Sus scrofa: one gene and its partners. The protein of the gene in region 5 interacts with the protein of the main gene of each other region in a pairwise test. Links are inferred from orthologs where the notes say so. Each region holds a gene or a part of one and is shown on either strand. Other genes may lie near its edges.

The links.
Region 1: the proteins of PSME3 (region 5) and PRR13 interact in binary tests that used the Homo sapiens proteins (3 or more experiments, as listed by UniProt). The two-hybrid records come from large-scale screens. The link is inferred for Sus scrofa from reciprocal best matches to the Homo sapiens genes PSME3 and PRR13.
Region 2: the proteins of PSME3 (region 5) and EAF2 interact in binary tests that used the Homo sapiens proteins (3 or more experiments, as listed by UniProt). The two-hybrid records come from large-scale screens. The link is inferred for Sus scrofa from reciprocal best matches to the Homo sapiens genes PSME3 and EAF2.
Region 3: the proteins of PSME3 (region 5) and TNFAIP8L1 interact in binary tests that used the Homo sapiens proteins (3 or more experiments, as listed by UniProt). The two-hybrid records come from large-scale screens. The link is inferred for Sus scrofa from reciprocal best matches to the Homo sapiens genes PSME3 and TNFAIP8L1.
Region 4: the proteins of PSME3 (region 5) and EAF1 interact in binary tests that used the Homo sapiens proteins (3 or more experiments, as listed by UniProt). The two-hybrid records come from large-scale screens. The link is inferred for Sus scrofa from reciprocal best matches to the Homo sapiens genes PSME3 and EAF1.
Region 6: the proteins of PSME3 (region 5) and WDR25 interact in binary tests that used the Homo sapiens proteins (3 or more experiments, as listed by UniProt). The two-hybrid records come from large-scale screens. The link is inferred for Sus scrofa from reciprocal best matches to the Homo sapiens genes PSME3 and WDR25.

What each region holds. Positions count from the first base shown.
Region 1 is NC_010447.5:18,659,247-18,664,382, reverse strand, and holds the start of PRR13 (proline-rich protein 13), read right to left. Parts: upstream 3,570-5,136; 5' UTR 3,349-3,569; intron 3,293-3,348; exon of another isoform or gene 3,048-3,292; intron 2,880-3,047; 5' UTR 2,860-2,879; coding exon 2,841-2,859; intron 2,257-2,840; coding exon 1,828-2,256; intron 1-1,827. UniProt on the Homo sapiens protein: Negatively regulates TSP1 expression at the level of transcription. This down-regulation was shown to reduce taxane-induced apoptosis.
Region 2 is NC_010455.5:138,678,277-138,683,313, forward strand, and holds the start of EAF2 (ELL-associated factor 2), read right to left. Parts: upstream 3,332-5,037; 5' UTR 3,229-3,331; coding exon 3,123-3,228; intron 1-3,122. UniProt on the Homo sapiens protein: Acts as a transcriptional transactivator of TCEA1 elongation activity. Acts as a transcriptional transactivator of ELL and ELL2 elongation activities. Potent inducer of apoptosis in prostatic and non-prostatic cell lines.
Region 3 is NC_010444.4:74,205,936-74,210,033, forward strand, and holds part of TNFAIP8L1 (tumor necrosis factor alpha-induced protein 8-like protein 1), read right to left. Parts: intron 924-4,098; coding exon 358-923; 3' UTR 1-357. UniProt on the Homo sapiens protein: Acts as a negative regulator of mTOR activity.
Region 4 is NC_010455.5:2,657,155-2,661,677, reverse strand, and holds part of EAF1 (ELL-associated factor 1), read right to left. Parts: intron 3,149-4,523; coding exon 3,012-3,148; intron 477-3,011; coding exon 256-476; intron 1-255. UniProt on the Homo sapiens protein: Acts as a transcriptional transactivator of ELL and ELL2 elongation activities.
Region 5 is NC_010454.4:20,032,318-20,037,596, reverse strand, and holds the start of PSME3 (proteasome activator complex subunit 3), read left to right. Parts: upstream 1-2,250; 5' UTR 2,251-2,251; coding exon 2,252-2,293; intron 2,294-2,786; exon of another isoform or gene 2,787-2,801; coding exon of another isoform or gene 2,802-2,876; intron 2,877-2,978; coding exon 2,979-3,011; intron 3,012-3,134; coding exon 3,135-3,197; intron 3,198-3,392; coding exon 3,393-3,497; intron 3,498-4,698; coding exon 4,699-4,747; intron 4,748-5,279. UniProt on the Homo sapiens protein: Subunit of the 11S REG-gamma (also called PA28-gamma) proteasome regulator, a doughnut-shaped homoheptamer which associates with the proteasome. 11S REG-gamma activates the trypsin-like catalytic subunit of the proteasome but inhibits the chymotrypsin-like and postglutamyl-preferring (PGPH) subunits.
Region 6 is NC_010449.5:121,236,154-121,241,227, reverse strand, and holds the start of WDR25 (WD repeat-containing protein 25), read right to left. Parts: upstream 3,030-5,074; 5' UTR 2,945-3,029; exon of another isoform or gene 2,692-2,944; intron 2,566-2,691; exon of another isoform or gene 2,478-2,565; intron 2,466-2,477; exon of another isoform or gene 1,691-2,465; intron 1-1,690.

The DNA of each region.
Region 1 (5,136 bases), on a different chromosome or scaffold from region 5:
TTAACAACTGTCATCCAGGATTTCCCATCGTGGAGGGATCCAGGATCCGGCGTTGCCGTGAGCTGTGGTGTAGGTTGCAGAGGCAGCTCAGATCCCACGTTGCTGAGGCTCTGGCATAGGCTGGTGGCTCCAGCTCCGATTCGACCCCTAGCCTGGGAATCTCCACATGCCGAGGGAGCAGCCCCAGAAAAGACAAAACAAACAAACCAAACCAAAAAAACTGTCACCCAAAACTTTTTTTTTTTTTTGTCTTTTCTAGGGCGGCACCCGCGGCATATGGAGGTTCCCAGGCCAGTGGTCTAATCGGAGCTGCAGCTGCCAGCCTACACCACCAGATCCAAGCTGCATGTGACCTACACCACAGCTCATGGCAAAGCAGGATCCTCAACCTACTGAGCGAGGCCAGGGATGGAACCCGCAACGTAATGGTTCCTAGTCGGATTCGTTAACCACTGTGCCACGATGGGAACTCCATCCAAAACATTTTTTAATCTCTCCATTCAATCTCACCTTTCCTTCTCCTCAGACTTCTACCAAAGATCCAGAACCAGGACTAGCACCCAAAGCCATACATAAGGCAAAAAAATTTGCTAAGCAGGAGTTCCTGTAGTGGCGCAGTGGTTAACGAATCCGACTAGGAACCATGAGGTTGAGGGTTCGGTCCCTGCCCTTGCTCAGTGGGTTAATGATCCGGCGTTGCCGTGAGCTATGGTGTAAGTTGCAGACTTGGCTCAGATCCCGCGTTGTTGTGGCTCTGGCGTAGGCCAGTGGCTACAGCTCCGATTCAACCCCTAGCCTGGGAACCTCCAAATGCCGCGGAAGCGGCCCAAGAAGTAGCAACAACAACAAAAAAGACAAAAAGACAAAAAAAAAAAAAAAAAAAAAAAAAATTTGCTAAGCAGAAAAATGTAAATTAAGGCCTCCTTAAGATCAAGGTTGCCCTAAAAATTAAAAAAAAAAAAAAAGAAGAAGAAGGGGGAAAAAAGGGAGTTCCTGTTGTGACTCAGCAGTAACAAACCCAACTAGAATCCATGAGGATTCGGGCTCAATCCCTGGCCTCACTCAGTGGGTTAGGGATCCAGCGTTGCTGTGAGCTGCGCTGTAGGCTGCAGACACCACTTGCACCTAGCATGGCTGTGGCTGTGGTGCCTGATTCAACCCCTAGCCTGGGAACTTCCATATGCCTCAGGTGTGGCCCTAAAAATTTTTTTTAAATATCTCAAGGTTGGTTCAATTCTTCCAGAGTTGGTTCTGAGAGCTACTTTTACTACTTGGTCCTGAGAGCTACTTGCTAATTTACACTCCTCTGGCATGAAGATACTTAGCCTGAGACTGAGCACGAAATTGAGGGTTTTATTGGAGCCTGAGTCACTGACTGCTCTTGTCCTCAGTTTCCCTGCTGGACAAGAAGACCTACGTAATTAATACAACAAGCTGAGAACAGTGAAGGAGAGAAAGAAATTCCAGGAACTAGGACCAGATTATTATCTATCATTACATAAGACTTTGCTTGGCCAAAGGTCTTGACATTTGACCACCTCAGTGGGTGTGTCCCACTTGCCAGAACAAGCATGGGGGTGGGGAGGCCAAAGCTCTGGGAAAAGAAAGGCAAAAAAGAAAAGCACCTGATTCTGATAGCCATTCTAAGGCTCAACATAGCCCCTGGCAGACAGAAGGCCCAATTAGCCTAATAATTATTTTCAAGATTATTAAATTCTTCGCAGTGGGAATCCTTTACAAAAAGGAAGCACCATCTGCCAGAGTAACACAATGCCCTGTCCCAAGTCCTCAGACTGTGAATCCCCATTCCTTGTCCCTGCCACCTACCTCTCTTCCCACCTCCAGCCACCCTAGTCCTTCTGAGGGGGCACCTCTTCCTAGCCAGGCTCCAGAGGGCACTGACCTTGCCATGCTTGTGGTGTTTGTGCTTCTTTTTATGAGCTTTCTTCATTTTCTTCTTCATCTTCTTGTCCATCACCATGCCTGGTCCTACCATGCCAGGAGCCAATGGATTCACAGGTGGCATGCAAGGGGCAGGTGGTGGGTAGGGACCTGAGGGCTGGCATCCTGGATGCCCTGGCTGTGGCACAGGATAACAAGGCCCGCCAGGGGGAAAAGCTGGATTCCCCTGGGGCACTCCTGGAGGAGTGGGAAGGGGGCCTGGAGGAAAGGGAGGGTTGGCAGATGGTGGATGGGTAGGATGGCAACCTCCAGGGTATCCAACGTTAGGCGGGTAAGGATTTGGCCCTGGCTGCCCTGGTGGAAAAAGCAAAGAATAAATTTAAGATTAGAACTGCCCAGAGCTTCTGACAACAAACAACAAAAAGAAGGGGATTCCATTTTTCACTCAATACTTAAAGGAAAATGGAGGAGTTCCTGTAGTGGCTCAGTGGTTAACGAATCCCACTAGGAACCATGAGGTTGTGGGTTCGATCCCTGGCCTCGCTCAGTGGGTTAAGGAACTGCAGTGAACTGTGGTGTAGGTCGCAGACGCGGCTCGGATCCCGCGTTGCTGTGGCTGTGGCGCAGTTGCAGCTACAGCTCCGATTGGACCGCTAGCCTGGGAACCTCCATATGCCGCAGGTGTGGCCCTAGGGGGGAAAAAATGTAAAGCTGAAGAAAGAGGAGCATGGAGGGGAGGGGAGACAAACCTATACAAGAGAAAGAAAAGGTAACGTTCCCTGGAGACAGTGAACTCTGGGGGAAGACACTGGGCAGCTATGGACTTTGCTTTTTTGTAGGTTAGGGCAGAGGTGGAGGAGAAACGGACACAAACTTCCTGTTGTGGCCCATCCGAAAAGGGACTGGGGCAGGAGAAGAGATTCTCCCCAAACACTTACCGGCATTGGGATTCCACATGTTCAGGGGTTTTCACCAGCCTGAGGAGAAAGAAATGAAGGTTAAAAGCTGACGGCCCAGAAGTGGGTGGGTGATTTAGACACCAAGCCCAACTTCAACGCCTCCTGCCCCACTGTAGGCTCCCAGGGAACTAACAGGTTCGCTACATAAGAAATGTCTCCTTCCACCCGCTCCTTCGCCCCCAATACCTAGTTTCCCTCCACCTTCCACTCGCTCTGGCTGCGGATTCTAACTCCTCGGGAGAGGGGCTGAGTGCGCGAATCTCGCTATCCCCATCACTCCTCTCCCTTTCCTTGACCGAGCCCGGAAGACTTTAACCACCATAGGCTGCGGAGGGATCTGAAACAACTTCACCATCCCCAAGGATGGGTGACGGGAGACAGGACCCCGCACCCCAGGCTAACAGAAGGACCTGCCTGGAGGCGAAAGGAGGTAAGGCAGCTCAGGAAAGATCCTCAAACGCTTATATAGTTAGACACACCCTCTTACCCTTTAAAAAAGGCAAGTGGAGACCCCGGCTCCCCAGCAACGAAGGGGCGTCTCACCCAGGAATGGAGAAAGAAAGGAACAGAATACTGACGTCCCGTCAGCTTTATACCACCGCCTGGGCGGAGGCGTCCTCCGCAGCCTCCACTCTCACTTCCCGATCACCCTCTCACGTTAGGCTTTGGCATCCGCCTCTGCTGCCTCCGAATTGGTAATATAACAACATTGGGCTTTAGGATTGGAGAACATGCTCGTCAATCACTCTAGTCCCCACTAGGCTAAAAGGCAATGGTTGCAGTGGGGGCGGAGCTGGGCGCTCTGGGGTGAGGCCGGTGCAGAGGGCGAGCGGGCCGGAAATGCCTGGGGGCGGGGCTATGGGTGGGCGGGGCCAGCTTCAGAGCAAGTTCGTGAGTACCTAGAGGAAATTCAACCCTTGACCTCTGAGCTCTTAGTCCAGTGGGTGCCACACCTTATAAAGTAAATATACCATGATAAATGTTGTACAGATATATATACACAGCTTAAGGAAGGGCGGGGAGCTGCCGATATTCACCCTAAAACTCAATATTGCCGCCTCTGTCAGCGTCCATAGAAAGTAAAGAAACATTCTTGGGAGAAATACAGAGATTTCTAATCTCTCCTAGGATTCCCTGTATCAACTACATAGCTCCGCCATCTGTCGAATTGCACAAAGCAGAAACGCCGGAGGTGATCCTTGATGGCTCTCTCCTTCACCTTCCCCTCTTCCCGCTCCAGCATCGGGAAGGGTCCGTTTGTTTCACGAATAAATCTGAAATTTCTCTACTTCTCTTCAATCTTCTCTGCTTCCAGCCTACCATCATATCTCAACGGGAATGCTGCAATGGCCTCTTCTTCTTTTTTTTTTTTTTTTTTTTTGGCCTCATTCACCACATATGGAAGTTCCCAAGCCAGGAGTCAACACTTGCCATAGCAGTGACCCAAGCTGCTGCAGTGACAACCTGGGATCCTTAACCTCCTGTGCCACAAGGGAACTCCATTCTTTTTTCTGAAGGAAGTACTAAATAATATGCCACTATTTGGATATTCCACATTTAGTTTATCCATTCATTAACTGATGGACATTTGAATTGTTTTTATGTTTTGCCTATTATGAATATTGCTGCTATGAACATTCGTGTACAAGTTTGTGCATAATCATAGGTGTGACCGTGTTTTCTTTTTTTATTTCAGCATAGAAATTTATTTAAATTCGAAATTACATGGTTAGGAGTTCCTGCACGGTTCACTGGGTTAAGAACTGGACTACTGGAGTTCCCGTCGTGGCTCCGTGGTTAACGAATCTGACTAGAAACCATGAGGTTGTGGGTTCGATCCCCGGCTTTGCTCAGTGGGTTAAGGATCCAGCATTGCCATGAGCTGTGGTGTAGGTCTCAGATACAGCTCGGATCCCACGTTGCTGTGGCTCTGGCATAGGCTGGTGGCTACAGCTCCCATTCAACCCCTAGCCTGGGACCCTCCATATGCCGTGGGAGCGGCCCAGGAAATGGCAAAAAGACAAAAAAAAAAAAAAAAAAAAAAAAAAAGAACTGGACTACTACCCATGAGAATGTGGGTTTCCCTGGCCCCATGCAGTGGGTTAAGGATCTGGTGTTGACATGAGCTATGGTGTAGGTTGAAGATGGGGCTTATATCCTGCATTGCTGTGGCTGTGGTATAGGCCAGCAGCTGCAGTTCCACCCCTAGCCCAGGAACTTCCGTATGCTGCAGGTTCGGCCCTAAAAATAAAAAAAAAAATTACATGGTTATATT
Region 2 (5,037 bases), on a different chromosome or scaffold from region 5:
ACATACAACAAAACTGAGGCTAAGAGGTTAGAGAATGTTCCCAAAGTTACAATATGTATCTAAGTGGTGGAGGCCAGAATTCAAACCAGGTTTTTCCAAAGCCTCAGCAAATGAATAATCATCATTACCCAAGTACCTAAAGATAGAATACTACTTTCTCCCAGGTAACACTGATTTGAGTGTTTGTTATAAATTAGGTCCACCCTGAAAGGGATTAAGAGGTACAAACCTCCAGTGATATAATAAATTATAAGGTTATCATATACAGCATAAGGAACATGGTCAATGATATTGTAACAACTTTGTATGGAGACAGATGGCTACTAAACTTATCATGGTGATCATTACATAATGCATGCAAATGCCAAATCATCATGTAGTACACCTGAAACGAAGATAATATTGAATGTCAACTATGCTTCAACAATAATGTCATGTTAAAATATATTTAACCATCCTTACAAATTATCATTTGTATCTTCAGAGCCTTACTTGTTAAAAAGATTATAACGATATTTACATTTAGTGAATGAATGAAAGCTGGAACCATTATGTAAAATTGCTACTGAAAAAACTGTATTTTTCACATATCTATCAATTTAGGGGCATTTCATAATTTTAATAAAAAACGATACACTGGTTGAATTTATTGCTTCATTATAGATAAATGAGCTCAGCAACTTAAAGTGAATTGTCTAAAGCTACAAAGTAAATAGAAAAGTTGAAATTAATATATGTATTTGTGTTCTACTTCATTATGAAGCTTAAACATGAATATATTTTTAAACAATAGAAACAAGTTATTTTTCAATCTTCGTGAGGAAAAATATATCTTTATATGTAATGCTGACAATTAAAATAAAAATAAACTTTTGTTTGCAATTAGAAATGTACACTTTTTTAAAAATAAAAAACTAATTAGGTTCACCTGCCCTGTATGAAAGTCAGATCTACCATCCCTCACTCTGAGTCCATAAGAGTCAGGATCATATGGTAAAATGAACCTAATCTCAAGGACAATGACTGGTTTTATTTTAATAAATCTAGAAAGGTTCTGTCTATTTCAAAAAGAAGACTAAAACTAAGGGTTGAAAACCTTTCTAATGTCTGCCACAGGACTAGAAGTGTGTTCAAACATCTAGGTTTAGTGTGGTTATTGTTGTTGTTTTGTTTATTTTCATTCTTGTAATTGGATCATCCAATTCTCTAATTCTGAAGATACAATTCCACCATTTGGGAAATTTTTGTAAATAAAAGGCTTGAAGCACCTATAAAGTGTTTTTCAAAGGCTGTTTGTTATTTATTTATTTGGGGGCTCACCCTTAAAAAGAGACCTTATACCCAAGTTATATGAAAAAATATTCTCAAGCAAATTTGTATAATCTAAAACCTTGTAGTTAAAAAAAAAAAAAAAAACTAATACTAAGACTAATGCATACCTGAGAAAGAAGAGGAAAGGAGAGGGAAGATATTATGTGAGAGAAAGGCATGGAGAAACCAGATAAGAACTATATCATACTTTTGGAAAATGGGACTGAAGCAGAGAAACTGCACAGCTGTCTCACTGTGGTAAGCCTTGGACCACAAATTATGATAAAGAATAAACAAGGTACACAAAGATCTGTCTGCACATATCTCCTCTGTTTACTCTATCAATTGGATATTAATTCTGCTTAATAAAACCCCTCTTAAAAATGTAAATATAGCCTTAGAGAGTTAAACCTATTGGTTCTTCAAACCTTTACTGTGAGTTAGTAATAATTAGATTGTGTATAACTTAAGTAAACTTGGAAAACGTGAGTTTTAATTGAGTGTTCTAATTGAAACATGAAACACTTCAGAAAAAAACAGCACAACAACAACAAAGATCTCTGAACAGTCTAAAGACAGAATGAGAAAGGTGGAGGGATGAGACTAAGGAAGGGCAGGGCTAGGAAGAGGAAGTGAAAAAATACCTACTTTACAATTTTGCCACAGAAAAATAAGAGGTTTATGGTTCGATGATCTCAAAGTTTCCTTCCCACTCTGTAATTCTATGAGGACTATTATGTAAAGAATGAATGTTTTACATACCAAATCATAATATACTATCTTTTCCTTTCTGGAATCTAAACCATCCAACTATTAAAGTAAAAGAGCTCCAATTTCTACCTCAACAACATGAAAGAGAAGTATATCAAAACTACTTCCCCAGGACAAACAAAAGGAGAAATCATAAGCAGTAAATGTCTTTCTAGTATATTAATAACACACCCTTCAAAACTTTGATAGTATTTGAAAACTGATTGAATGAAATTGGGGGTCCAAAAGAGACACAGATTATTAGAATGATCCAGAATCTCTCTCCAGGAACACACTAAATAACACCCTCATCAGTCAGAGACATCAAAAATGAAGACAGGAAAGAACATTTCCCCACCAACCTCAAGGCATTCACCTCCTCCTGCATAATAATAGTTCGGCCCTTGCCCTCTCCATTTGTCACCTTATTACAGTTGTCGCTAGAATAACACGGGTCTGAACTGCGCAGGTCCAGTTATACGTGGGTTTTTTTTCAATAAATAGTTTATATTTTCATCTTCAGATCTTTAACGTAGTGTGGGGAAATGCTTGTGTCTGATTAGAGATCACAACACAGGTAATTAAAAGAACTAGGTTAAGAGTCCTGATTCTACCCAAAAGGTTTCAGCTTCTTAGGTGAGTCCGGTATCAATTCCTTCGTTTTTGAGGCAGAGATAGGAATACGTGGATATTGCACTGCTTGGGGTCGACGCCCCTATTCCCTGCTTTGTTCAAGGGTCTACTGAATTTTCCTTTCCACCTCTGCATGATCCGCCAGTTACGTCTCTCTCCATCCATAGTCACCCCGCAGCCTTTCTCCACAAGTGGCCCTTCCTACCTGTTGGTCTCACTTAAATCTCTCTGCCCAGAATTACCCACACCTGCTCCACCCAGGTGCTTGCACCGACCCTTCCGGACTCGGGGTATGGCAGTGGACTGCGCTGGGCACCCCATTCTCCCGCAGAGTCAGCAGTCTGTGCGAACACGACTTGGAGAGGGTTGTTCTTTCGCACCCCCATACCCAGAGCTTCCCCCTTTCCCCCGGGGTCGTCCTCACTCACAGCGCACAGTGTGGAAGGCGCAGCGCGGCTGCTTCTCAAAACTCTCGCCTAACTTGAGAACCCGCTCGCGGCTGTCAATACGCGAGGGTCTCCCTGCTCCATTCATTATTCTCCTCGGTCTCTGAACTGCCTCCGCCAGCAGCGCTCACCACCAGCTGCCAACTCAGCCTGAAACATCTGCACTTGCAGCCGCCTACGCAGCCAAAAAAGACTCCGCCCCGCGCCCGGGGAGCGTGGCCCCCACAGGATGCCTCTCGCGTGTTGATTGGCTGCCGCCTTAGGAGTGCCCGCCCCTTGGCCCCGAGGCTCCGGGTCCCGCAGCCGAGCCCCTCCCCCTTCTCACGTTGGGACGCACGCAGCCCCGGGAGGCTATGGTTCTGAGGTACACGGCAGGAGCTGTGTGCTGCTGAGGAGGAACGCGAAACGGAGCGAGGTAGCCTACGTGAGGCGGCGGCTAGGGAAGGAGAATGTCCAGGGTGCCGGGAGGCCTGGACTCCAAGCTTATGGGCCAAGTGACCCGACTTGCAGGAGCTCTAAAAGGAGAATCGGCCTGCTCCACGCCTTTCTGTGGAGATCTGGTGTGGAAACTGAGGCGGGGGAGGGGCGGAACCTGGACTCCAGGCGCGGCGTCGTGCCCGAGGCCTGGTAGCGCCGAAGCTGGATCTAGAATCCTGAGTAAAGGAACCAGTGCCCACCGAGCCGTGGTCCTTGGATCTGACTGGAGGCGACGCCGTTACCTCAGCAAGAGTTTTCTGACCTTATGTTCCAGAGCAGGGTCCCAATGGTCAGGTCCCAGAGGGGAGTAGGAGTTGGGGGTTGGAGGGAGTGGAAAAAGAGTTCAGAGTTAGGAACTACAGATATTTAGGATCCCCTGCGGCTGGTTTGCATTTGGTTGCCTTCGTTTATTTTCTTCACAGTGATGCGTGCAGGCAGTAACGACACGGCCCCCACGAAAGACAAGATTCCCAAAAGATCAGGGCCAGAGCTTTTGCTCTGGCTACAGGGTGATAACATTAATAATTGAAAAATAATTTGTCTTTTTTTTTTTTTTTAATCTGTCAAAAGTTCGTGAGTTTAAGGGTAGAGATGAGAGAAGTGCTGTATGAGAAGAGAAACACTCAAGAGAAAGTTTACAAATGGTTGCCATAACACTGGTGGTTTTTCAGGGTAATTGTATAATCAGACTACTCTTTAGTTAACTTATTCCTTTGCCAAATTTATTATTCCAGGCAAGTAGATAAATGTGTCCCCCTCAACCTATCTGCTTGTGTAAATTATACTCTTTTAAGCATACTAAAGCTGTTTCCTGTGGTAGTTAAGCACCTGAGTTCTGGAGCCAGAATCTTTTATGAGTTTGAACCTCAGCTTCATGCTCTACATTGTGACCTTGTGCAAACCAAAGTAAGTATGTTTGTCATTAAAATTAGGGGAAGAGGTAGTACTTACACCTTAGAGTTGTTGAGAGGATTAAATTAGTTAATGCCTGAAAGCATTTTAAACAATTCATGGCATCCAGTAAACGTTCTCCAAATGGTTATTGTTTTTGAGACTTTACTGTCATGCAACGCTTTAGGACCATTCTTGGTGGCTGCCTTCTCTTCCAAATTTTGAATTACTCTAGGAGGTAGGAATTATTATTTTGTTTACTTTATAGAAAATGGCATAAGCCCAGTCCTTTGACTCTCTTTATTCTTATCAGCTGTGTCATCCGTCTGGCATTTAATGTATTTTACATAATAATTGTATTTTACGTATGTGTATGTATGGATGTTGTGTATACTTTTCTTTCCTGACCAGAACATGATGAGGAAATCTGTCCTATGTAAAAGCTTTGTGACCCTTGCATCTAACGAAGGACACTACACGTGTTTGGTGATGTTTCAGTGATGTTTTGTTATGTTAGAGGGCAAGAACA
Region 3 (4,098 bases), on a different chromosome or scaffold from region 5:
CCCAGGCAATAACATTAAAGTGGGAAGCCACCAGCTTTCAGAGACACCGAGTGATTTGAGGGGTACAGATGGGTCACTCAAGGGTCACTGTTCAGAGGGTGCACCCGAGGGACAGGGGTCTCCAGGTGTGCGGGGAGGCCGCTGGCGCAGGCAGGCTGTGCCCGGCTCCAGGCTGAGTTCTCCCCATGTAGATTGGGCCGGAGCCGAGGTGACCTGAGTTCCCCAAGAAGGTACAGGTCACCCGTGTGTGTACGTGTGGGAAGGGGTTGGGGGGAAGTTGGCCAGAGTCAAACTGGGAGAAAAGAAGTTAAAAAAGCCCGCAAGCCCCGCCCCCAGCGGGAAGACCCAGGTCGGAGGTCAGATGCTGCCCTCGTCCAGCATCCTGGTGAGACCCTCGCAGATCCTGCGCAGGTGGGAGCGGTAGGGCTCGGCGGGGCCGTAAAGCGCGGCCAGGAAGTCGCAATCCGCAAAGTGGCCGAACACATGGTTGATGCGGCCGTGGGACTTGGCGGTCAGGTGCGCGCCCGCGGCCTGGTGCAGCAGGTCCCGGCACTCGAGCAGTGAGGCGGCCAGCACGCGCCGGTCGAAGGTGAAGTCCACCTGGTGAAAGCTGACAGCGGTCATGGCCAAGCGGCGCGCCTGCTGGCGGAAGCTCTGCAGCCGCGCCAGCTCCTCAGCGCCCAGCTGCCCACCGCGGAGCAGGACGCCCAGCTTCACGGCCACCTTGACCAGGTTCTTGACCACCTTCTGGGCCTCCTTGCGGCTGCGAGTGAACTCCTTGGTGGCGCGGTACAGCTCGTCCAGCACCTCGCTGCTCGTGTCATCGATGAATGCGGCTGCCACCGTCCTTGACGCCATCTTGCTCAGCAGCTTCTTCTGGGCCTGCAGGGCCAGGCTCTTGGTGCTGAAGGTGTCCATCCGCCCTGCCGGGGAGAGACAGACAAGCCGGCCGTCAGGTGCGCACGGCCCGGCCTCCAGGGCCTAACCTGGGCGTGCCACTAACGTTGGTGACCACCGTCTTCCCAATCCGGGAAATGGGCGCCCGCCAATAGCCTATCTCCAGGGGAGTCTATGGACTCCTGAGTGCTCATTCCACAGACCTACTCTGCGTGTCAGGACTGGGTGTGTGTGGCAGACCAGTGAGCCCCCCAGGAACACGTAGCAAGTGTTATTGTCCGGAAAGCGGCAAGAGCCCATGGTGCAGGCACCCCAGCAGATCGAGGTGGACCGGGCAGGCCTCCTGGAGAAAGGGACAGGTAAGAAAATGGGGACGGCTTCCGCGGGGGGGAGGGGGGGGAGATCTGCGTGCTCCAAGGCCTAGAGGAGGGAAATTCCGTGTAGCTGGAGCACAGAAGGCAAAAACCTACATAGGAAAAGTTTGGAAACAAATAGCATTGAGGAGTTCCCTGCTGGCTCAGCAGGTTTAAGATCTGGTCTTGTCACTGCTATGGCTCCTGTCGGTGTCTGGTGCGGGTTCCATTCCTGACCCAGGACCTTCTATGTGCTGTGGGTGCGGCCAAGGAAAAAAACATACCATTCACACCAAAGATATGATGACCCAAGGGACTCTAAGCGACCTAAGGGAATTTGTTTCTTAAAAAAAAAAAAGGTCAGGTGGGAGTTCCCGTCGTGGCGCAGTGGTTAACAAATCCAACTAGGAACCATGAGGGTTCGATCCCTGGCCTTGCTCAGCGGGTTAAGGATCCGGCATTGCCGTGGGCTGTGCTGTAGGTTAAAGACGCGGCTCGGATCCCCGTGTTGCTGTGGCTCTGGCGTAGGCTGGTGGCTACAGCTCCAATTCGACCCCTAGCCTGGGAACCTCCATATGCCGCGAGAGCGGCCCAAGAAATGGCAAAAAGACCCCCCCCCCCCCAAAAAAAAAAAAAAAAAGGTCAGGTGTTCCCTTCGTGGCTCAGCAGAAATGAATCTGACTAGTATCCATGAGGACACAGGTTCGATCACTGGTCCCACTCAGTGGGTTAAGGATCTGGCGTTGCCATGAGCTGCAGTGTAGGTCGAAGATGCAACTCGGATCTGGATCTGGTGTTGCTGTGGGTTGTGGCATAGGCCGTAGGCCGGTGGCTACAGTTCCAATTCGACCCCTAGGCTGGGAACCTCCATATTCCACGGGTGCGGCCCTAAAAAGACAAAACAAAAACAAAAAAAATGGTCAAAGGAGTTAATGTGTAATGGTGAAATCTGGGTAGGGGGTTCTATTACGGTTTATTACTGTATATCGTATGTTCCCTGTGCTATACAGTAGGACCTTGTTGTTTATCCATCCTATAAATACTAGTTTGCATCCTCTAATCTCAAACTCTCAGTCCATCCCTCCCCTCTTCCCCCCTTTGGCAACCAAAAGTCTATTCTCTGTGTCTGTGGGTCTGATCCCATTTTGTAGATAAGTTCTTCATTTGCATCATATTTTAGATTCCACATATACATGGCATCGTATAGCATTTATTGTTCTCTTCGCTTAGGATGAGAATTTCCAAGTCCATTCATGTTGCTGCAAATGGCATTATTTCATTCTTTTTTATGACTGAGCAATATTCCATTGTATATATGTGCCACATCTTCTTTATCAATTTATCTGTCAGTGGACACTTAGGTTATTTCCAGGTCTTGGCTATTGTAAATAGTGCTGCTATGAATATAGGTGTGCATATATCTTTTCAAATTATAGTTTTTTTTTTGTGATATATGCCCAGGAGTGGGATTGCTGGATCCTGTGACAGCTCTATTTTTAGTTTTTGAGGAACCTCTACACTGTTCTCCACAGTAGCTACACCAGTATACATTCCCACTCACAGTGTAGAAGGGTTCCCTTTCTCTACACCCTCTCCAGCATTTCTTTTCTTTCTTTCTTTTTTTTTTTTTTTTTTGTCTTTTTAGAGCCGCAATCACAGCATATGAATGTTCCCAGGCTAGGTGTCGAATTGGAGCTGTAGCTGCTGGCCTGTGCCATAGCCACAGCAATGTGGGATCCAAGCCATGTCTGCAACCTACACCACAGCTCATGGCAAAGCTGAATCCTTAACCCACTGAATGAGGCCAGGGATTGAACTCGTATCCTCATAGACACTAGTTGGGTTCGTTAACTGCTGAGCCATGACAGGGAACTCTCTCTCCAGCATTTATGTGTAGATTTTATGATGGCCATTTTGACTGGTGCGAGGTGATACCCCCTTGTAGTTTTAATTTATATTTCTTTTTTTTTTTTTTTTTTTTGTCTTTTTGCTATTTCTTTGGGCCGCTCCCGCGGCATATGGAGGTTCCCAGGCCAGGGGTCTAATCGGAGCTGTGGCCACTGGCCTACGCCAGAGCCACAGCAACGCCAGATCCGAGCCGCGTCTGTAATCTACACCACAGCTCACATCAACGCTGGATCCTTAACCCACTGAGCTAGGGCAGGGATTGAACCTGCAACCTCATGGTTCCTAGTCGGATTCGTTAACCACTGCGCCACGACGGGAACTCCTTAATTTATATTTCTGTAATAATTAGGTCATCTTTTCATGTGCCTGTTGACCATCTGTATATCTTCTTGGGAGAAATGTTTGTTTAGATCTTCTGCCCATTTTTTGATTGGGTTGGTTTTTTGTTACTGAGTTGCATGAGCTGTTTGTATATTTTGGAGATTAATGAGCAGAGCCTGATGAATCTCACTACTTGTGGGCCCTGGCACCAGCCCTCAAACCCACTGTATCCTTGCTGTGAGTTGAGAAGGGGCTCAAAGTGAGTTATCACTGGGGGGCCAGCTTATCATCCCCCACCCTCATGCCAAAGTTCCATGAGACAGAGTCCTAGCCCCAACCCCTGGGCTGTTCAGGGTGGAGGAGCCTAGCTACCAATCCTGCCAGCCTCACCAGCCCCGTGAGTTTAGGGTGGATGTCTCTGGGCCCTAAGTCAGTCCCTGAATGAGTCAGGTGGGCAGTGGCCTGGGTGGGGGTTCCCCAGGGCCATTTGTGGGGTTTCTGGAAACCCATTGCTCCAGTGATTCCTCTGACACAGAAACACTGACTTGCAATAGCTTCCACCTAGGAAAGGGCCTGGAAGGTGCCCAAGGTGAATGGCAGGCCAGCTCTCTAGTGACCA
Region 4 (4,523 bases), on a different chromosome or scaffold from region 5:
GTAGTCAGGCTTGTTTAAACCCCAGGCCTCTAAACAGAAAGCTGCAAAGACAGCCACAACTCAAGTCACTGTTTTAAAGGAGGTAAGTGGTAAAGCCCCTGCCCCTTTGCTCAAAGTGCAGAATTTTGAGCTCTGTGGAAACTGTGACAATGGCAGAGAATGCCCATGTCACCACGACTGGCAGCCTTATAATCGCCATGAAACATCAACACCCTCCTGCAAGCTGCTTTCATGGCTCTAGAAAATGCTCTCTACCTCTTTTGATGTCATCCAGCTGAGGCTCAGGTGAGGGGTTGTCCTTCAAAGGAGATGTTTTGGGTCCAGCTGGCGGCTTTGTTGGAGCTCTGAACGGCATAGGTGGTGGTGGTGGTGGTGGTGGTGGTGGCTGCAGAGGCGGTGGCGGCGGCTGTGATGGCTGTGGGGGACGAGGGGGCTGTTGTTCCATTCGGGCCTGGATTTTACTGCTCCCCTCAGCTCTGAAGTGAGATACAGACATTAAATTGGAGGGGCAAAAATAGTGGTTCTCAAATGTGCCCAGGTGACCAAACACATGGGAGTCTTTGCAGAACCCCTGGCTCCATACAGACAGCTTCAAATACTAGTATTTGTCATTTTATCACAGGAATGCATTCCAGTACTGCCTCCTGCACCAGATACAGAGATGAGTAAAATAGACTCGCTGCCTCCAAGGAGTTCACGTTTTACAAACAGCAGATGAGACACACAGGCAGGATATATTGTGACTGTGAGAAACCATTTTACTAATAGAAAATCCAACTATGTGACTTGTGCACACCATGTAAAGTTACAGTCACACATGAGTGACTTGTTAAAGGAAACTTGCTCTTGAAATACCGGCCTGTTTGCACTATTTTTCTATTATCTATTTACCGCTTGCTCATTTTGTCACGTACCAGCTCCTGCTGGCAGACAAGCAGAGCATTCCACCCCAAGCCAAGGAAATTCTACTCATTAACCATTTGTTACTGGGCCGGCTCAGCACTTTTCAAACTTTGCTGGGAACAGAGATCCCCTGGGGATTTCACTGAAGTCCAGGCTGACTCAGTGGGCCCTGAAATTCTGCACTTTGAACAAACACCTAAGTGATAAAACACTGCTAGTTTCCAGTTGACACTGAGCAGCAACAGAAACACAACCATCAGCGCTCAGAGGTGTCCCACCTGATTCATGGAGGATCAATGGACCAATACAGTGCACTGTCCCCCGGGATGGAGCTCTGGCCCTGACTTGGGTAACTCACAACTGCACTGATCCTTGGTCTCTTCAGAAGGATAACATTTACCTACTGTATAGCACAGTGTAATCTACTCGATACTGTGTAATAACCTATATGGGAAAAGAATCTGAAAAGAAATGGATATATGTGTATGTATAACTGATTTACTTTGCTGTGCACCTGAAACTAACAAAACTTTGTATACCAACTATACTCCAATCAAATTTATTGGGGGAAAAAAAATAAGGAAAAGGTAGGGAAAGTCCCTTTGAGGGAAAGCAGTGAGGACTGACTGCTTGATGGGTATGGGTTTTCTTCTGGGGGGGCTGAAAATGTTCTGGAATTAGATAAAGATGGTGTACAATATTTTGAGTGTATTAAATGCCATTAAATACATTATAATTTTTTTTAAAGGCCCAATACCACCTTTCTAAAAGTTATCTGTAAAGATTATGTAAAACAATGCACGTAAAACACGTAGCATAGGAGTTCCCATTGTGGCTCAGTGGCTCAGTGGTGACAAACCCAACTGGTATCCATGAGGACTTGGCCTTGCTCAGTGGGTTAAGGATCTGGCGTTGCCAAGCTGTGGTGTAGTTCAAAGACAAAGCTCAGATCTGGTGTTTAGGCTGTGGCCTGCAGTTCCTATTCGACCCCTAGCCTGAGAACTTTCATATGCCGTAGTTGCAGCCCTAAAAAGGCAAAAGAACAAAACAAACAAACCAAAAAACCACCTAGCATAATGCACAGCAGGTGATAACCCCTCAATAAATGGTAGCTGCTTTTACTTTTTGTGGAATAAGTAAAGAAGAAAGGCTCGAGGAAGCATAAGGAAAAAAACATCAGACTGTAACACTCCTTAAAATTTAATTATTATTGCTGTTATCAAAATATAACAATAGTGGAGTTCCCATCGTGGCGCAGTGGTTAACGAATCCAACTAGGAACCATGAGGTTGCGTGTTCGGTCCCTGCCCTTGCTCAGTGGGTTAAGGATCCGGCGTTGCCGTGAGCTGTGGTGTAGGTTGCAGACGTGGCTCGGATCCCGAGTTGCTATGGCTCTGGCGTAGGCGGGTGGCTACAGCTCCGATTAGACCCCTAGCCTGGGAACCTCCATATGCCGTGGGAGCAGCCCAAGAAATAGCAAAGAGACAAAAAAAAAAAAAAAAAAAAAGACAAAGAAAAAAAATATAACAATAGAACCACTGGGTTACTTCTATTTATAGGATGAATTTTGACTTTAAAATCTAATTGGCTTTATATGAAATGTGTAGTGCCTGTTAAATTAAATGCTAAACAGAGCTCACTATTCCAAAATATTGGACAAAGCTTTATTTTGGTCTTATAATGATCTCAAGTGTATCTTGTGAAAAATTAATGTTTTCATTCTAATAAAGAATATATGAAACTTTTCCATCCCAAAAAAGATTATTCAATTATTCTTTCATAATTCTAAATGTGTAAATTTAAATCTTATCCCTTAGAAGGTATTGTGTCAACAGACATGAGATTGACAAAACTGATTTAATCATAAAGCATACTCCATTCCCCAATGGCCTCGTGTTTCAGATCCTAAAGGCATTATTTCCTTTTACTGCCTTTGAGGAGAAGACATTTTACTGACTTGCCCAAGGTGGAATTGCTGAGAATGGCCACAGGGCACTAGGTACCCAAATGCTCGCATCCTGATAAAATAACTAAGGAGCATAAGGAAAAAACATCATATGTAAAGCTACACAAACATCCCACCAATCTGCACCGGCTTATTCACATACCTTGTCTTTTTGACCTGAATGCTGCTGCTGAGTTTCTCCAGCACATATTCACCAGTGTCATGGTTGATGATAAGCACACAGTCCTTCTGGTAAGGTCGTTTGTTCCCCTTGAATACAGTCATCGGTGGTGTGGATCCCTAGACACCACAAAAGTACCACTGAGATGATTAATGAAACACACCAAGTTAACTTATGGAGCATCTTCAAGGGCAGCTCGTTACCCTGGTGGGTTCAGAGTAAGCACATCCTGTCACTTACCTGCCTATGCCCTTCAACCCTGACCCATGGCTCTAAGGCCAAAGAAGAAAATCTTACCGTGCTGCACTCGCCTGGGCTCTGCAGGCCGTGGAAGAGAAGGCACTGGCCTTCTCTCAGACCCATAAGCTCTTTCTTGAGGGATTTAACAAAGCCTCTGCGTGCAACATCCCATCCCCTTCCTCCCTTTCATTTATTCAACCTTTAAATCTGCTCAAAGGTCACTTCCTTAGGAAGGCTTGCCCTGATTTTCTAAAATAAAGGCAATGTTTTCCTCTATTTATTTAAACTCCAGAAGGGCAATAAATGTTACTTGTTTAGTTCAAGACTGTATTCTCAGTGCCTAGTCATAAGTCAGCACCCAGTAGGTAGTCAATTTGCCAAATATAGCATTTAATTCCCTGTATGGAATCAGAAACTGCCTGGCTCCTTAACTCCTTATTCATACAGTAAAAATTCGGAGTTGGAAAGGACCTTAGGGACCACTTATCTAACCTCTTCATTTTACACTGAGAAACTAAGGTGCAAAGGGGGATGATGTAACTCACCAAAGGCGACAGGTAATAAGACAGGGATTTGAACGGGCAGACAACAATCTTTCCTCAGCACAAAGCTTGCCAGGTCTCCCTGTCCAGGCCCTTTCATTCTATCACTGGTTACCAAGCACTTATTATGTTCCAGAATAGGGTTGGGACATGCAATGACACAAATTCATAAAGAGTACTTTGCCTGATCTTTTGGGCTCTGTGATCAGAGTGCTGCCTTGGGCAAAGCTTCGAAAGAGTCTCTCTGCAAAAGTTCTCCCTTCAGCTTTTAACTGGGTTTCTTGCCCCTAAATAAGTTGAATGTTCTGAACCTCTGGTTCTGGCCGAAAGCTACCAGAATGCACATCACCCCTTGCCATATACAGGAACCAGGCTGACCCCGCCCTCCCTCCCCATGCTCCTAAGCTGTTGCCACTTTACATCCTCCAGGTGCCTGGGTCTTTCTCTCTATAGCTGCTGGGGGGCAGGGCAGGGGCTGGGGGGGCGGTTAAACAACATCTAAAGGAGGGGTTAGTTGTCCGCATAGGACATCTGGAATAAATGGAGAAAAAGGGAGCTTGGGGAAAATGGCAAAGAATTATTTTTACTCAAGTACATGGGAAATGTGAATTCTATCCCACTCCATCCCCCAAACTGGCATTTTAGGAATCTACACATTCTTAAACAGGAGGAAAATCAAATTGCAATAATGTAGAATATGAAGATCCACTGT
Region 5 (5,279 bases):
GTGGCTGCAGTCTGAAGGCCATTAGAGGGCAGGTATTCTTTCCTGAGTTCTTTCAGGGCTCACTGGCTCACTCTTGGAGGTGGCTGCATTTGCAGATGACTGTGACATCCCTTGTTTTGTTGACTTAACTACAGCCCAACTGCTGTAGCTCTGAAATACCGCAAAGAGGAAAGGGGAAATATCAGGATATATGTGATAAAGGGAAGGGGGACGTGTGTGCAGCCACGCACACATTTCACAAAAGTTTGCTTCTGGTCTCGTGAAGATTACTACTAGTCGCGAGGAGCAGACATCACCATGAAGGATTTTAGTTTTCCTAGATACTAGGAAATGCAAGAATTGGGCACATAAAATCTTCTCCTAAAAATATCTAACTGGAGTTCCTGGTGTGACTCTTGGCTTAAGAACCTGACTAGGGAGTTCCTGTCGTGGCGCAGTGGTTAACGAATCCAACTAGGAACCATGAGGTTGCGGGTTCGATCCCTGCCCTTGCTCAGTGGGTTAACGATCCGGCGTTGCTGTGAGCTGTGGTGTAGGTTGCAGACTCGGCTCGGATCCCGTGTTGCTGTGGCTCTGGTGTAGGCCGGTGGCTACAGCTCCGATTGGACCTCTAGCCTGGGAATCTCCATATGCCGCGGGAGCGGCCCAAGAAATAGCAAAAAAAAAAAAAAAAAAAAAAAAAGAACCTGACTAGTATTCATAAAGATGCAGATTTAATCCCTGGCCTTGCTCAAGGGGTTAAGGATTGGGCTTTGCTGTAAACTATGGTGTAGGTTGCAGATGCAGCTCGGATCTGGCATTGCTGTGGCTGTGGCATAGGCCAGCACCTGCAGCTCTGATTCAACCCCTAGCCTAGGAACTTCCAAGTTTCACGTGCAGCCCGAGAAAATAAAAAATAAGAAAGATCTAACTATCCGAAAGACCTATTCTTCCAGTTTTCCCATAGCACAGAGTGCCTCACTCCTGGTTTCCACCCTGAGCTCTGCTTAGTGGGTTCTGCAGGTCAGCAGCTGCCATGGCTCATGGTTTAATCCACGTAGAGGCAGATGGCAAGTAACCGTAAATGCGAAACTCCAGTTCACAAGATTTAACTTACATAAGTGACTCACATTATATTTCTAGCCTCTGAGACACTGCTGTCCCAGAGCCTACTCCGATTTGTTGTGCGAAATAACCAATGCTATAAGACAGATGAATGGGTGAATTAAGACAGACAGCCTGGGGAGTTCCCACTGTGTGCAACTGGTTAAGTATCTGGCCTTGTTACTACAGAGGCTCCATTCCCTGCGGTCTCCAGGGTTCAATCCCAGGCCCAGGAACTTCCACCTGCCTCCGGTGGGTGGGGGGCGGGGCTGGGCGACAAAAAGTCGGGTAGGGGGGAATACAGTCTCCGCCTTCCACGAGGAAAATGGATACAGCATTGCCCTAGAAGTTAGGAGATGTGAGTTCTGGACTTGGATATACTGTAAACACTGTGTAGCCTAGGACAAGCACCGCCAGACTACAGGCATCAATTTGTCCATACATCTGGCACTTGATCTCTGAGGTCTAGGAGTAAGCGGCTAAATGGCAGAGAAAGGCGGGGAAGCCTGGTACAACAGGACTTGTTTCCTATCAGGCTCCAACCTAACATGAGAGCTTGGACCAAGAGGAGGAGACAGCAGGAATCAGAGACTAGACGCCCCGAACCCAGCGCGGGTACCACCGGCTTCCTCGGGCCGACGTCACCGGGGCGCGACGGCGTCTTCTGTCGGGTCCCCCACTCCAGGCAGCAGCGCCTCCGACGGTCCCTTCGGTGAAGGTGAGTGCCGGAATAACAGAGAGGCAAACGGTCCTCGAGTCTCTCTGAGACTCCGATCTCACTCCACCACCCTCTGCTGCCCTCCCTTTTACTTCACCCTTATCGGGCACAGGAGCCGAGAGATAGGAGCAGAGCTACCATCGTTCAGAGCCGAACCTCAGCGCGGCTGCGCAGGGCACGTGCACATCCTCTCGGAGTCCCGGCGATTGGCTGTGACGTAACTTCCGGTGTGAGCGGCGAAAGCCGGGAGGGCGAGCGAGAGAGAGCAGGCAGCAGGCAGCAGGCGGGCGGACGGACGGCACGAAGGGAGGGAGCAAGTGAGCAGTGAGTGGGCCAGCGAGAGCGGCCGCGTCCCGAGAGCAGCCGAGATTCCTCCCGTCCCTCTGACCCTCTCCCCGGAGCCCACAGCGCCTCCGGTCTCCAGCGGAGCGGACACGGCCCGGCCCGGCCATGGCCTCGTTGCTGAAGGTGGATCAGGAAGTAAAGCTCAAGGTAGGGGTACGGTCCGGGCTTCCTTACTCCTTGCTTCGATCCTCGAGCTGTCTGACTGGCTCCCTACTCCCCATGGCGTCTTTGTCTCCCTGGGGACACCAGCCCTGAGCTTCCGCTCGGCTCAGCCCAGCCCCCCACTCCCAGAGATGGCATCGGGGGAGACGCTACTATGGGGTGGCCTTCTGTACCCTGTCTAATGGTGGAGAGCCCCGGGGAGACTTCCGCGGACACGTGGTGGACTTAGTGCTTTAGGCCAGTGACAGCTGGAAGTCCCCCCAGCCCAGCAACGTCCCCATCTCTGGGCGCTGCTACTGCCCCTGCCCTTGGCGTCAGGCCTGCCTCACATCCTAGGCCAGGTTTGTATGGGGGTTGACATGTTTGTGAGCTCACGCCTCTCCCATCTACCTGTCTTTTGTCTGCTTTCAAATTCAGACAAGCTACAGACAAAGGGAGGGAGGGAGGGAAGACAGGTGGGTGCTGCCCTCCAGCCCCGCTTCCCTCTCCTGAGATGGAGAAATGGATCCTTAAAAAAATAAAGTATTTGCAGTCTGGGGGCCTCTCAGCTTCTCATTACAATTACAAGGTGAGGGAAAGACAGTTGGATTTGGGTTTCCCCATCCTGCCCATACTTCTCTTGCCAGGTACTGACTTGCTCTTACTGAATTGCTTTCTTTGTTAATTTTAGGTTGATTCTTTCAGGGAGCGGATTACAAGTGAGGTGAGTGAAAGAAGTAGAAAATCGAGCATTGGTTAATGGTTGGGAGTTCTCCAGAGAAGAGATGTCTGTAGAGACAGACCTTCCCTCAGTTACTAATTCAGCTATATTTTCCCTCATCTTTAGGCAGAAGACTTGGTGGCAAATTTTTTCCCAAAGAAATTGTTAGAACTTGATAGTTTTTTGAAGGTGAGAGACCCTTTTCTTTTCCTCAGAGTCCCCAGTTTTTTTGGCCCTGGTCTTTCTGTCAAATGGGACAAATGACGTGTTGATTCTATCTTGTTTTGTGCTGTAAAGCCGTCTTCATATGTTGCCCTTGAAATGAAATACTTCTTTGTTCATTTTGAAAAGACTGATGTTTTGGGGGTGGGCGTCTCTTTTCAGGAGCCAATCCTAAACATCCATGACCTAACTCAGATCCACTCAGACATGAATCTCCCAGTCCCTGACCCCATTCTTCTCACCAATAGCCATGATGGACTGGACGGTGTAAGTATCCTGTATTTATCTCTGTGTGTGTGCCGAAGCAGTAGGCGCTCTGTCCTCAAGTCTCTGGTCAGCTTGAACGTGTACAGGGGTACAGGGGACAGTGGGATTTGGATCTGGGAATGAGGATTCTTTTTTTTTTTTTTTTGGCTTTTTGCTATTGCTTTGGGCCGCTCCCGCGGCATATGGAGGTTCCCAGGCTAGGGGTTGAATCAGAGCTGTAGCCACCGGCCTACACCAGAGCCACAGCAACGCGAGATCCAAGCCGCGTCTGCAGCCTACACCACAGCTCATGGCAACGCCGGATCGTTAACCCACTGAGCAAGGGCAGGGATCGAACCCGCAACCTCATGGTTCCTAGTCGGATTCGTTAACCACTGCGCCACGACGGGAACTCCCGGAATGAGGATTCTTACAGACATATGACTTTGGTACACCCCCTTCGGTCCCCGGTTTTCATTTGTAGCATGTGTTAATGGGTACTCTGTTAGAGTGAGTTGAAAATAGGGCTAATAGTGACAAGGTCCCTCAGGTTACCTGGTCTGTCACCATGGCTCTAGGCAAGACTTTTCATCCCTGTTTCAGTGTCTTGAGTCTTGTTATGGGAGGGGGCAATTGTTCTTGCTATATAACTGCAGTTCCCCGTCTTTCTGTATCTTTAGCAACTAGTCTTTAGAATATGTCCACATTCTGTTATAACAATGATGACCCCATATTGTTATTTATCTGCTATATATATTGTTATTTATCCGTCGGTGTCTCATGGGTAGAACTTGCACTTTTGGAAAGGAGAAACTATCTGAATTATCTTTGTATCCCCAGCACCTAGCATTGTTCCTTGCAAGTGCTAAATACATGTTTGTTGATTGAATATTCTTTGTGGAACAAGCACATTTGTTTATAATCCCCTTAGTTATACTCACTCTGCATTCAGTAGTTCATTCTTTCTGTTGTTCATAGTATCCACCCCTCCCCTGGTTGCCTAATGTGTTATATTTCTTGAAAAGTTGGTCTTTCCAACTATAGTGTAAGTTGCTTTGTGGGAAGAACCTTTTCTTAAAGCTTTGTGTGTGCTTAGTGAATTGTGGGTAAATTAATAAGACAACCTGTGAAGTCAAGGTAGGGATTAAACTTGCTAGAAGGGTAACTTGCAGTGGGGATGTGAGTGTCGAATAGGCTGATTCTTGTCTCTTTGTATCCTTAGCCCACTTACAAGAAGCGAAGGTTGGATGAATGTGAAGAGGCCTTCCAAGGTAAGAGCCACCTTCACTGTCCCCTACCCCAACCCTTCCTGGCTTGCAGCCCTGAGAAGCAGGATGGATCTGGTGCTCTCCTGTCCAGCAAGCAGGATCTGATTTTATTTCCTAGCATTAGCATTCCTAAGCTCTCCAGACATTGTCTAGTACTCTAAACCTAATTTTCCTTTCCTCTTTTTTTGTCTTTATAGGGCTGCACTCACGGCATATGGAGGTTCCCGGGCTAGGGGTCTGATCAGAGCTGTTGCTGCTGGCCTACACCACAGTCACAGCAATGCCAGGTCTGAGCCGCATCTTCGACCTACACCACAGCTCATGGCAACGCCAGATCCTTTAACCCACTGAGCAAGGCCAGGGATTGAACTCACAACCTCATGGGTCCTAGTTGGATTGTTTCCACTGTGCCAGGACTGGAACTCCGTAATTTTCCATTTAACAGGGAGGGTTGGACTTAATGTGAACTACCAAGGGAGAGGTTGGAGGTGGCTACACATCACAGATTTTTCGCAAAACCCCAGTTCATATCATT
Region 6 (5,074 bases), on a different chromosome or scaffold from region 5:
AATACTGAAATGAAAAGATGACCAGGCCTCACCACATGGCAAAAGCATGCCACCCTCGCCTTCACCCTCTCCCTTCTGCTCTAGTCCTTCCTTCTGTTCAATCTGCCTAGAATGCTCTTCCCCAGACAGCCCATCCTGACTACAAGCCAGTGGGAGAGACAGACCCAGGACACAAGGCCCAGGTGCCTGAGGCATCAGTCCACCCAATTTCGAGGGTGTGGCCCAAATCCAGCAGTTGTGCGACAAACACACAGATTCACACGACAGTGAATTTCCCCTTCCTAAAAGACTCTTCCTGGAGTTCCCGTCGTGGCTCAGCAGGTTAAGAACCCAACTAGCATCCATGAGGTTTCAAGTCCGATCCCTGGCCTCACCCAGTGGGCTAAGGATCCGGCGTTGCCATGAGCTGTGGTGTAGGTCACAGACGCGGCTCGGATCCCTCATTGCTGTGGCTGTGGTAAAGGCTGGAAGCTACAGCTCTGATTCAACCCCTAGCCTGAGAACTTCCACACGCCACAGGTGCAGCCCTAAAAAGCAAAAAATAATAATAATAATAATAATTAAATTATATTTTTTTAAAATGTTAAGTAAACATTAAAAACCATGCCCGGAATTCTGAATCATTATACATGATAAATTGTAGCCAGCTAGTTTCCCCAAAGACGTACCCCCTTCTGGAATTCAATTCTATGTGGTTAGCACGAAGCAAGGACACTCAAGGAAAACAAGGATACGGGACATGTCCTGGACAGCAGAGGGCGCGGTGGAGCAGCACTGAGAGCCCAGGCAGCATATCACTTCAGAGGAAGCCTACGTGCCCTACCTTAATACGCCACCCTGAGCTCCTCTTCCATCCCTGAAGACTCCCTGTGGGTCCTCAATTACGCCATTCCGACAGCCTATCTATCACCCCCATCTCCCCCGGACAGTGGTTTTCCCTGGAAGCGACCATCTCACCCCTCCCCTGCCTTTCCCAAAAAGGGTAGTAGCATTTGCCTGAAGGGCTCCATTGCCAAATAAGTTACACCAACATCCAAAAAATGCCAGTGGTCTGCCTCCTCCAAAAATCCCACCCCCACCTACAGTCCAATCCAGGCAGGTAACACCTTCTACACACAGAGCCATTGTCTAAATAAAACGTCCATCACAGGAGTTCCCGTTATGGCCCAGCGATAACAAACCCGACTGGTATCCATGAGGACGCAGGGTCAATCCCTGGCCTCACTCAGTGGGTTAAGGATCCGGCATTGCCGTAAGCTGTGGTGTAGGTTGCAGACATGGCTCAGATCTCACGTTGCTGTGGCTGTGGCACAAGCCGGCAGCTGCAGCTCCAACTGGACCCCTAGCCTGAGAACTTCCATATGCCATGGGTGTGGCCCTAACAAGCAAAAAAACACAAAAAAACAAAAGCAAAAAACTTCCATCACAAGCCAGCCCATCTCAAATGGAACAAATATAATGGACAAATTATAAATTAATAGAACACTGCACTGCAAAGGATTTGGCATTTCTTTTCTCTAAATACTTGCTCTGTTCCTGAAGCCCATCCTGATCAAACATCTCACCTGTCTCAACTCCTGGGCACAGCATCACCCACCACAGCATCCCGTTCCATCCCTCCAAAGAGAACCCACTAGGTTACCAGCACCAAGGCACCTGTCCTCAGCCATTAGAATGGATTCCTACCTACCCAGTTGTCCACAGATGTCGACTCACAGGAGAGGTCGATGGCCAGAATTAGAAATGAGACCTACAGCAAAAGATCAGAGAGCAGCGGAGTGAGAAGATCCCCACAAGGCAAGGCAGCAAGAACTGAATGAATGCAGGTAGATGAACCATAGCAGCATCTGCTTCATGTACATTTCATTCAGTCATTCAGTAAACATTGAAGGAGCATGGGCTACTTCCCGAGCCCCATACCAGGCGCCAGGAACACCTCAGCCAACAAGAAAGTGAACAATGCCCTGAGCTCATCATGCTCACGCACGGCGGGGGAAGACAGACCATGACCAGGTGAAACAAAGGATGTCCAGTGATGAGAAATCCCAAGGAGGAAAGTAAAACAGAAAAGTCGGCATGATGGTGGGCTTGGGCTGTTTCCTATGATGAGATCAAGGCAGGCCTAGGGCAGAAGGCAACGCTCTGGAGGAGGTGAGGAAGTAGAGGTGATGAGAAGACCGAAACAACAAAACTAATCAAATTGGGTAAGAGTGATGGAGGCAAGAATGAGTCAAGGAAAACAGGCAAAAACGGAGGTGATCGGGAGCCACTGGGAACAACAACAACAAACTTTAGAGGGAAACTGCTGCCTAAACAGGCAAAAGTGGGGAAAGGACATTTTTTCATAGAAAGAGGGAGTGATTAAACTAAGAAGAACAAAAAAATTAAAAATAAAAATAGCTAAGAACAGCTGGAAGAAAAAGTCAGGTCTTAGCAGAAATGAGGCTACAGGAGAGGGGAGCGGCAATGACAGTCACCTGCATGTCAGCTCCACCCAGGCAGGACTTTTTTGTGTGTTGTTCACTGTTTGATCCCCAGCATCTACAGATATTTGTGAAATGCAACCTGGTGGGAGGAGGGCACAGAGAAAGCAACAGGGATAAGATATTCTCATTCAACATTTCCTGATTACCTACACTGTGCCAAGCTTTATATTAGGTTTTATGGACAGACATTAAACACAAAACACACCTCCTGCGCCGGAGGCCACAGACTGATGAGGGCAACAAACAAGATACGACCAGAGGTGGGTTTTGAAGAATGAATAGGAGTTAGCCAGGTTGCCAAGAGTAGGAGGTGAGCATCGTCCAGAGCACTGCGCGACGCAGAACCGGAGATGTAGAACAGGCGAACAGCGGCGAAGGCTCGCGCGGAAGAGTGTGGAGCACTCGGGCCCCAGCCAGGTCCCGTCCCCTCCCGTCCCCCGGCCCGGCCCGCCGCTCACCACACACACCGGAAGCGCTCGGTCCTCCCGGAGGCTGTCCGGCCTGCACTCCGCCGCCCAGTCGCGTTCCGCGGACGCCGGGGCCCCAACCAATCAGCGGCGGCCTCTGGCCGCCACAGCCAATGATGACGCAGTCGATCCGGAAGTTGTTCCGGCCGGACGGCGTTTCCACGGACGCCCAAGCAGCAACCCGTGGCTGAGCCGGCAGTGCTGACGGGCCCGGCTGGGCCGGTAAGTGAAGGGATGAAAGAGGGAGGGAAGCCAGGGTGGCGCCCGATGACCTGGGCCTTCCGGAGCCGCCGGCACGCCGGGGCCGGGAGTATCCTCCTCAGAGCCCGCCTCGCTGCCCGCCGGGTTCTGGCAGCACGGGGGGCGCGGAGGCTGCCCGGGCGCCCCTCGCCCCCTTCCTCCCAGCGCCGCCGACCCGGCCTGTCGCCCACTCCCGCGGGCGCCGACCCTTCCTCGTCTCCCACCTCTGCCCTTTCCCTAAGGAGGGAGGCCCCGACTTTTACCAAGTGTCTGCCATGTGACAGGGGCTTTGCCTGCAGTATCGCACTTAGTCCCCTCCACGGTAAAGTTAGGAGGCTTCTTTATGCCCATTTCACAAATGAGGAAGCGGAGGATGAAGCGGAGAGGTAATGTGACTTGCTCAAAGTCTTGAAACAAGAAGGTGCCCAAACTGGGATCGAAACTCAGATCTGACCCCAGAACTCATGATCTTTCCACTGCATTGCGCCGCCCCCGTGAACGACAGCAGCAAGGAATTTACAGCCCACCTTTCTGCCCCCCAGGACTACACATAAAACACAGTTTTCATTACAGTTGTTCATACTGATGCTAAGAAGGAGGAACAGAAAGGGGGCAGGGAGATTTTTAGGAGGCCAGCTTGGAATAGAGGGTGGCTGATGCAATGACCAGCTAATATCTTGATTCCCAAGAGGGTTTCACTGGTCTCCACCCGCACTCTTTCCTGTACCCACCTCTGATTGGACAGTCCCATCAAAAAGGTTGGGTCAAGAGGCTTAAGCGTTTCTGAGAAACTGGGGGATTTATAAGAAACTCCTATGTGTGAGTAGTGAAGGGTGGGATAAACAAGGAAGGAAGAGAGAAGTCTTTTTCTAAAAGGAAACTGAAAGGAGGAAAGGACGACTATTAAAGAAGAGCTTGAGCTGCACGGGGCAGTCTCAGCTACTCAAGTGCCCGGTGGGACCAGTGGCCACCTCTGCAGTGTCTCCTGCAACCTCGGTATGTATTGCCACCTTCCCAAGGCTTAGAGCTTACTAGTATTTTTACCAGCCTTTTCCCAAAAGGCTGGAAACCTTGGCTTAGGGAGATGAGGGGTCAGGATTACACTGTTGTGCATTTTACTTCATCTCATTGGTCCCAAGTTCAAGTGATTCTCGGCTTCCATAGGGAACAGAGATCCTGGAAGAGTAGTTGCCTGCTGGGATTCATAGCTTGCCTTTCAGCAGCTTCATGTTGGCTGTCATATTTTTCACCCGTGAGGCCTCCTTAAATAGTTGATCTCCATTCCCAATATGTCATTGTAATACTCATGAGTATCTTGGGTCTGGCTTCATTTAAAATAATGGCTTATTTGCCTTTTAAGATAATTTTCATTTCATTATTTGGAGAAGAAAGGAAGCTTTCCTCCCAGTGTTTAAAAAAGGAAAAGAGGGAGTTCCCGTCGTGGCGCAGTGGTTAACGAATCCGACTAGGAACCATGAGGTTTCGGGTTCGATCCCTGGCCTTGCTTGGTGGGTTAAGGATCCGGCGTTGCCGTGAGCTGTGGTGTAGGTTGCAAACGCAGCTCGGATCCCTTGTTGCTGTGGCTCTGGCGTAGGCCGGTGGCTACAGCTCCGGTTGGACCCCTAGCCTGGGAACCTCCATATGCCGCGGGAGCGGCCCCAGAAATGGCAAAAAGACCAAAAAAAAAAGGAAAAGAGAACTTAATCTGTTCCAAGGTTTAACGTGGTAAAGAACTCCCTGCTCGTTTTCTAGTCTTCTGCAAACGCGGCAGTCCAAGGCCATTGTCATCCACACTCTGGCCAGGATGCGAAGGATGGTCTTCCACCTCCTGATGCTTTTCTGGGCGTCGGGAAACTCTTGTGTCACTTTCTCTTCTCTGCT